Linked DNA regions of Xenopus tropicalis. The protein of the gene in region 1 binds, or shares a complex with, the protein of each later gene. Links are inferred from orthologs where the notes say so. Each region holds a gene or a part of one and is shown in the gene's direction. Other genes may lie near its edges.

The links.
Region 2: the proteins of atp7a (region 1) and atox1 are in contact, whole or in part, in an NMR structure (PDB 2K1R), measured with the Homo sapiens proteins. The link is inferred for Xenopus tropicalis from reciprocal best matches to the Homo sapiens genes ATP7A and ATOX1. Residues at the interface, in NP_000043.4 of Homo sapiens: Cys19, Asn20, Ser21, Cys22, Trp24, Thr25, Gln29, Asp67, Asp68, Met69, Gly70, Phe71, Asp72; in NP_004036.1 of Homo sapiens: Thr11, Cys12, Gly13, Gly14, Cys15, Ala18, Arg21, Val22, Lys25, Lys57, Thr58, Gly59, Lys60.

Annotation. Positions count from the first base shown.
Region 1 is NC_030684.2:45,788,998-45,792,817, forward strand, and holds part of atp7a (copper-transporting ATPase 1), read left to right. Parts: intron 1-542; coding exon 543-660; intron 661-1,107; coding exon 1,108-1,210; intron 1,211-2,216; coding exon 2,217-2,493; 3' UTR 2,494-3,820. UniProt on the Homo sapiens protein: ATP-driven copper (Cu(+)) ion pump that plays an important role in intracellular copper ion homeostasis.
Region 2 is NC_030679.2:16,843,269-16,847,804, forward strand, and holds the start of atox1 (copper transport protein ATOX1), read left to right. Parts: upstream 1-1,612; 5' UTR 1,613-1,695; coding exon 1,696-1,701; intron 1,702-4,536. Other genes in the region: g3bp1 (ras GTPase-activating protein-binding protein 1), read right to left, coding at 1,408-1,487. UniProt on the Homo sapiens protein: Binds and deliver cytosolic copper to the copper ATPase proteins. May be important in cellular antioxidant defense.

The DNA of each region.
Region 1 (3,820 bases):
TAAGAGGGGCTATTCTGTTAGATTCAAGTTCCCAGCCTTTGTATACTCTGGGTCAGAGAAACCTTTTCTTGGGCCCAATGAAACACATTTAAAACCCACCATACAAATAAAGGAAAAGCGAGAATACATTAAGCACCAAACTCAGAATGTAGGGATACATTTGGTAGTAGCATGACTGCTAAATATTCTGCCTTCGATATTTTGCCTGTTGATATTTTGTACAGTATTTTGGAATTGGAACTTTTTTGAGTGCAAATGAAGGTTACCTTTATCTAGCATTGTAATGCTACACTGTGTCTCTTGATGCTTTCCTATAGATTTCTATAAAGTTATTGATATTATTTTCAAAACAGTATATTTCATTAGGTAGGTAGAATAAATGCTTCATACAAATAGGTGATAGCTGGCTTATTGCTTGCTTTTACTACTTAGATATTTAAATATCAGATACACATCCAATTGTCGGGTCCTATTAGCAAGGGGGATCCTTACAGCGCTTTGTGCCTGGCCCTGGAATAATCCCTTTTGTGTTCTCCTTACAGAATGATCTGCTAGATGTGGTGGCCAGCATTGATTTGTCTCGCAAGACTGTGAAAAGAATCCGAATAAATTTTGTCTTTGCTCTAATCTACAACCTTGTTGGAATCCCAATAGCTGCAGGTACCCAGAAACTGCATTATTAGATGGGGGGTTCGGTTTATATTTGTACAGCTACTGTAAGCAAAGCCGACCACTTATCATCCCAGTTCTATGGCATCAATGATCATATTGCGCCTTTTGGCCAATATTTGGCTGATTCTATGCCTGTGGAAAAACGCTTGCTTACAATCAGCCCTTCCGCAGGCCTCCGACCTTCCTTGTGCTTGGAACCATTGTGCTTCCCAGGGTGCAGGTATTTCAGCTTTGAAATGTGAACTCTTGCTTTCTAATATCTCAGACCAACACAGTGGTTCTGGGCACAGGGAAGGTAGGAGGCTGATGCTATTGGAGGGGCTGATTCTTGGCCTTGGGTGGCATCAGCATTTGTCTAGGGGTTTTGTCCACCATTTTATTGGGCTGATTTTTAATCAGAAATCCTCAAAATGAAATCCTGTTCTATTTTTGCAGGTGTGTTCATGCCAGTAGGGTTGATTTTGCAGCCATGGATGGGATCAGCTGCTATGGCTGCTTCCTCTGTTTCTGTTGTCTTTTCTTCTTTGTTGCTTAAACTGTAAGTATGGGACCCACATTCACTCCTGCTTCCTTCCATAATGTGATAATACACTCACTTTCAATTTTACATTTTCGCATATTAAGTTTTCCCAACTTATAATGCATTTCAGTGGGTGCTTTTCCCACATTTTACACCAGAATGTTTGCCTTCTGTGTAAACAGTACATTTCAGTAAATTTACACTTCCTCCACAAACACTTAGGAGGGTGCAAGAGCTCACCCCTCAGTGCTCATTCTAGAAATACTTGCGCCCCCTTTGTGCTGTTCCAGGACACGCAGCTAATCCCTGTCATTACTATCTGCCTATGTGACTCTCCACACCCACCTCCCTTGGATCTAGTGCTGACTAACTAAGACCGTGAGGCAGATATCAGCGTTCTGAAATAGAGTTTCACATGTTGCATGCTGCCTTTGGCTTTGTTAATGAGGCCTATAGTGTTGGATTGTGTATCTGACTTTCAGAGTGGTTTTGCAAATGCTGTACCATAGGGTGCCATTAATGTTGCACTGCTTAGACTTTGTCCTTAGCACAGTAACGTACTGTTTGAAAGTGACTCTTGTTCCTTTGATGCATTTTTTACACTGCTAAGCACTGTGGACAATTTTACATTCATTTGTTTTGTGAGTTTAAATTTCCTTTAACGGTAATTCCTGGTAATGTCTTGGCTACTGCTGCCCTCTGGTGGAGAACATTGGCAATAAAGATGCCCATCTGTCTGTTACTTTCAATACCAATGACAAATGTACATAGGGGTGTTTTGACTGCTGCTGTTTTCTGCCAAATGGCAGTGCTGCACAGAACTCTGCCTGGGACCCATACCCATTAGATGCAGTCATTCAAATAAATTTCATAATTTGTTCTGTTGCACTATGTCAGGGAGCGATATACCCAGCAGGTTGCTCCATAGCTTTTTGATCTGGCAGATGAAGTGATATTATCCACACACAATTCTTGCTTCTCATTTTCAATGATAAAAGCAGCGACTGTGTTTGCCTTTGTGCAGGTACCGTAAGCCGAGTCGTGAGAAACTTGAGCAGCGGGTCCAGGGCCAGATGAGACAGAAGTCACTTTCCGACATTAGTGTTCATATTGGACTCACGGAAAACAGGAGAACTTCCACCAAGCTGGACCTTCTGGATCGCATTGTCAACTACAGCCGAGCGTCTCTGAATTCCTTTTTGTCTGACAAACATTCCCAGCACAGCATCCCACTGAGTGAGCCAGACAAACATTCCCTGCTCCTGGGGGAACTGAAGGGTGAGGAGGACACGTTCCTATGAACGACGGATGGAACCTTCAGCTGAAGAAACTTTCTCTTTCACTGTGCTGAAACCTCTATGCAGGTTTTTCCAAACAGCAGCTAGGATCCCAAACCATTGTCCAACTAATGAGATTCCTATGAGGGATGCAAAAGTTTCCCTTGGGATACTGAGTACCTTAAACCGGTGCCTCCTGTAACCTATTGTAGAAAATGGACACCATGCACCTAAGGTACCTAGTGTTCCTTTCACCTTTCAGGCAAGGAGTAGGCGGACAGGGATGCAGAAACCTGTTATTTGTGCCTTATTGCCATTGGATAATTATTCATCCATTTCATAGCACTGGACATCTGGCAGTAAAATAAATTAGCCTTTGAGTATTTTATTTTTATATGAGATAAAGGCCTGTATAGTGATCTTATATGTTCTGATTAGCATTCTGATTCCATTCCTCCCCCCACCCCAAAGAGAATATCCTATTAGCCTTTGCTTCCAGCTGCTGCACTGCACACTTTTGCTATTGAGATTTATTGGGCGACTCCGACCTCACTGAACAAAAATTTTTATTCAGGGCAACGGGGTGAGGTTCTTTTCTGTTTGTGGCCTTGGTTCCTAATTCACAGATTTCTTATTTATTTGGGAAGTTCCCCAGTTGAGCCCAAATAGCCTTGATTGTGACAAGCCCTTCCTTACTAGAACACGTGAATTGCGTATGCCATATGTACCTTATGCACTTATTGGCCGAAGAGATCTTTCCAATCATTTCTTCCATGGAATGAAGTCTGCAGTATCTGCCAGCCATACACTAACCTTGCAGCAGCATCTCCACGTGGGAAACTGTGAGGATGAAAATGAAAATGCACGCTTTGCTGAAATAGAAAAAGAAATAATAATGAAGGAGGTTATTTTGTTGATTCTTTCAGTCCATAAACCATTGGGCTTGCAGACCTTGGGATTAATAGACTGTAGCACTGTTGATTTTGGTAGGTCTGCTCGCCTGCCGTGTGACTGAGATAATAAAGGGCAGTGGTTCCCAGCCTGCATCCTTGGGCTATTACAGATGGTCAGCTGAACCAAAAACACAATGCCTTCCAACTTTTGCTGAACTTCCACTCCCATCATCCTCTGTGTTTGGCTTGAGCACATGATGTGTGCAACTAGAGCATGCTGGGAATCACTGCCTATCAAATGTCAGCATTGGTTTCCTGATAAAATGAACCTCAGGTTGGCCATAAGGGTATTAAAAGAAATATTAAATTCACTGCACACCTATCAGTTGTGCCTGCAGAAATGTCACGGTCATGTCCTTTATTGAGGCTATTACTAGGTTCAGATAGCAATGCCTCCT
Region 2 (4,536 bases), on another chromosome or scaffold:
GCAAAGGGACTTGGGGGTGCCAAAATGTTAGGCAAGCGTTAGAAAGCGGCGCAAAAACTTTTCTGGCTTTGAAACCTTCAATGTATGATTTTGGAAGCCTTCCATAGGACTCAATGGCACTCTACAGATCCAACGTGGCCAAAAGATAGTCACGAAACCAAAGCTTGAATGAATTCCGAAATGGTCCTAGTCTTTGCAAAAAATACGACTTTTTCGAGAAAGTTAATGAAAACCACAAAAAAGTAGTGGAATTTTAACGAAATTATCGTGGACATTACAAAAAGTTCTATAATTCTCTAATAAATGGCCCCAGAGAGACAATTATCAGTAAATGATCAGCATTCAGGGGCGGGCCAAGCCGACCGGGCGCCCTAGGCAACTCGGTCGGCCAACTCCGCCCACCTCCCCCCCGAACGGCGCATGCGCGCCAAAGCACAGGAGGCGGTGCAGGGGGGGGGGGGCAGGGCGATTAGATCGGTCATTGCCTCCGCCGCTAATGACAAGCGGTGGAGGCAATGACAAAGTAGCACTAGGGGTAGGCAGGAGAGGCTCCTGCCTGGCGTCCCTCAATCGTTGCGCCCTAGGCAGCTGCCTCTTCTGCCTACCCCTAGTTCTGGCCCTGTCAGCATTGTCTATTTTAGTAGCTGCTACTAGTAGCCCTGTGTGTCTTCACCCTTATAGAAGGAGGAGCAAATTCTGGAAGCCCTGTTAATACATTGAGAGGGGGGAGCTGGGAGAGATGTTAAGGTAGAAGGTGGGTTTAGTTTCCCTATGACTCAGTGTAAAGAATAAAGGTAAGCACTTTGGAATACGTCATGCACATAGTCAAAGTTTCCAATATCATGCATGATCCTGGGCCCAGTTAAACACACCCTACCATGCAGATTTGAATGCAGTCTTTTAAATGATGGGCACACAACCTCTACCAAGTAAGAATGTTATTAATATTAGTATATTCAACAAGGCCTTTATGTTAAGAAAAGGGTTAACTATCTGTGGCTTGTACTGCCTTTCCCGAAAATTATAATTTTAACTTTGCTATCATTACATTTTGCTATCATTCCACTGTGATGCAAACATCCCCTGCTAATTCCCCTGCTAATATGCCCTATAACCCTACTCTCGGAAGATTAATATGATAATTGTAAAGATCAGGAAATAGACTTGAGCTAGAAGCGAATTAGGGCTAAGCAGCCTTCAGTGTTGCAGAACTTTACCATTACACTAACGCTGCTAGCTCTGCTGCCTGGGGAAAGCTGGGAGCTGTAGCTTTAAATTGACTGTAGTGCTAAAAGTTGTTGAAGTTATGCCATGTGACAGCTTTTACCCTTTAGTGGCTTTCTAACTTGACAGAGATAGTAATGAGTCTTACAAAGGTGGCTCGTTAAAGTAACCCCCAGTACATACTTTCTGCCGGTTTCTCCCATGCTTAGGACTGTTTCTTCCTCACTTGGGCCATGCGGACCAGAAGATGGCAGCAGCATCATTTCCTATGGTTTGTCAGCTAAAAGGACCCTGGGCTCTTGCTCTCCTCTTTCCTAGTTTGAGACCATCCTCCTCCTCCTCCTCCTCCTTCTCAGTCATGGGACAGGAAGCAGGGCTGGGCCTGATCAGGGCTTCCCTTCCAGCAAGCAGAGCTGAGGTGTATTAGAGAGATCTTCTGAGCCGCACAGCGTTGCGCACATCTGCCTCGCCATGTCGGTAAGTGATCTGTAAATGTCGTTTAGCAGCAGAGGATCAGCGCTGCCCACACTCTCACCTGCAAACATCTGGAATCTTATCCGTTAACAGAATACTTAGTGGCAATTTTTGCAGAAATGTTTCAGTTTATTTGTTCCTTCCATTTTTCTATGTGTTTGTTGCAAACGAAATGAAAGTCTTGCTATTTCTGTTTATTGTAACTACGCAGATTGAGTTGTAGCATTTAGGGGTTCTAGTGCTGTGGGTATAAGCATACATTGTAAGTGACTTAACTAGATGAGAGGTAATAAGGATGTAAATATTGGTTTTTAAATGTAAAGAAATCTAATGTGGGTGTATATTATGCACGGTTAGTCAATTGGTTCCCAAACTGAGGGGCCAGCACCCAGACTGAACTACTACTTAAGCTGGCCATACACGCAACAATAAAATCATACGAAACTGATTTTTACATTGTGTGTGGGCTCAGAGCTATCATCTCGATAATTTTCTTACCATGGCGAATATTTTGGTTGAATGACAATAAAATCTGCGCATGTATTGTGTATCTGACAATATCCTTGGGGGACCACAATGAAAGTCACTTTTGTACCATAGGTATCTGCCAACTATTTTGTGTTCCTTCAACATAAAAAATAATCTTCAGCACACCACTTACATACATGTTCTCAAAGGGTGCTTGACTTCCACGGGCGCTCCCAAGCCTTTTTTCCATGTATCTTTGCAAAGGGAAAGAAACACACCACCAGTGTGTCGGCAATGCCTTTAAATAATTTATTTGCAGAAATGAACAAACAGCACAAGCTTTCGGGGGTGACCCCGACTTTGTACCTGAAGAAGGGGTTTGTTAATTTCTGCAAATAAATGATTTAAAGGCATTGCCGACACAATGGTGTGCTTCTTCCCCTTTGCAAAGATATTTTGTGTTCCTAACATCCTCTGATTTGTTATATTTAGAACTTTATCCTTCAATTTCAGTCTGAATGTTAGATTTATATTGTTGCACTTAAATGTACGATATCGATATCTGAATGTTCTGACTATGTATGGCCAGCTATACTTCTGGAATCTGATCTATGGGGATGCCCAATTGGGGGGCTACTGCCCCAGCCCTATGTTTTATCAGGGAGAAGGCCAGGGCCCCTCCAGTTGTTGCCATAGTAATGAATACTCAACTTCACTATTGGCGATATTTGTGAACTTGCATTTTGCAAAGTAATAGCCTTTGTTATTGCATTGCTGATTTTAATTGTGCATAGTGCACTTTTAAGGTGTGCTTGAAGATAGCACTAACTATTGGAGGAAAAATAACATTTTTTAGTAAGAAGTTTCATTACATACTGGTATAAAACTAATAAAGTTATAAAATTCACAATCTTTCTTCAACTGGCAGCAGTGAATGCTGAACAGTTTCCATGTTCACAAATGCTATATTCAGTTCACAGAAAGCATAAAATGTGTGCAAGGCCATACATTTTCGCATTGTGAATAATTTTCCATTAACGACTTTTATTGCATTCCCCTGCAGATGTGCACAGAACATGTGGCGGAAATAGCGAAATTATGATCTCCCAGCTTGATGTCATTATAATAATTATTATTAACATGTAATTATAAAGCGCCAACATATTCCGCTGTACAATTAATAAATATGAGCAGGGCTAATTTGGTGTCCCTGCCCACCCTGAGGCAGGCCTTCCGATACTTCATCACCAGTGCATTGAGCCAAAATTCTGATTTTGCTGCCCCTGGTAACTGCTGAGGCAAGTTCTCAATTTACCTCATGGCAGCAGCGCCCCTGGATATGAGCCAAGTGGGGCCCTGACCCCACCCCCATGCAGTGATTGTCTCCCATTCTACGTCAGTGACTTACAGATTTCCACATCTGCATTTATATGGTCTGAGCATGGAGCCACAAACTTGCAATTCTGGTTGGTTGGCATTTGCTGAGTAATATAATTAAGGTACATAATATAGAGATTACCTAGATAGCAGGTTGCTTGTGGACTCTCAAGTGGTCCATGTGCTTACTACAGGTATAACTGATCAGGACAAGGATTTTGACAACTGCTATTTATTACCTGAAACAATTTTTCTGCCGTTGAGCAAATTACATTTGAATGCCACTGCTGCTCCAGACTTAGTGTTTACAGGTCAGTTTGCTGAAACCAGATCTACAGAGGCAGGCCAGTTCTGAATCAAGGTCTAGCATTGTTCTTTACATAGGCTGCACAAAGGTCATGTTTGCTTAGAGTATTAGAGTTAAAAAAAAAGAGAGAGTGTGTATGGAATAACGCAATGTACATAGTACAGTAGCAGAGGATGAAAAAATACCCACCTCCATCAAATGATTGTTCCTATTAGTTCCTAACTGAGTCAGTTTTACAGTAAAGGCCAGCAACTAGATAACTAAAGCCGGCCATACATGCACCGATATTATCGTGCGAAACCTCGTTTTGTTATGGTTAAAGGATTTTGATTGGGTGCCATTGAAGGCGTCCAAACAAAATTTATGCTCAGGGCTGAATCGGCAGAAGGAGGTAGAATTTCTTTTGTTTCTACATCCATATCTAACAATTCAGCCCTGAAAGTCAGATGAGGGTGGGAACAATCACGAAAGATCGAAATTGCTATGTGTATGGCCACCTTAAGACTTCTGATTAGTGGCAGAACATACATATACATGTAATGTGGCTATTGGCCAATCACATTTTCTACAATGACCAATCAGTATCTTTTAGACTATGGAAATCTTACCATTTTAGCGCAATGATGGGTATTCTCAGTATCAACCTTAATATATGTGCTATAATAAATAGAAAAAATAATTTATAT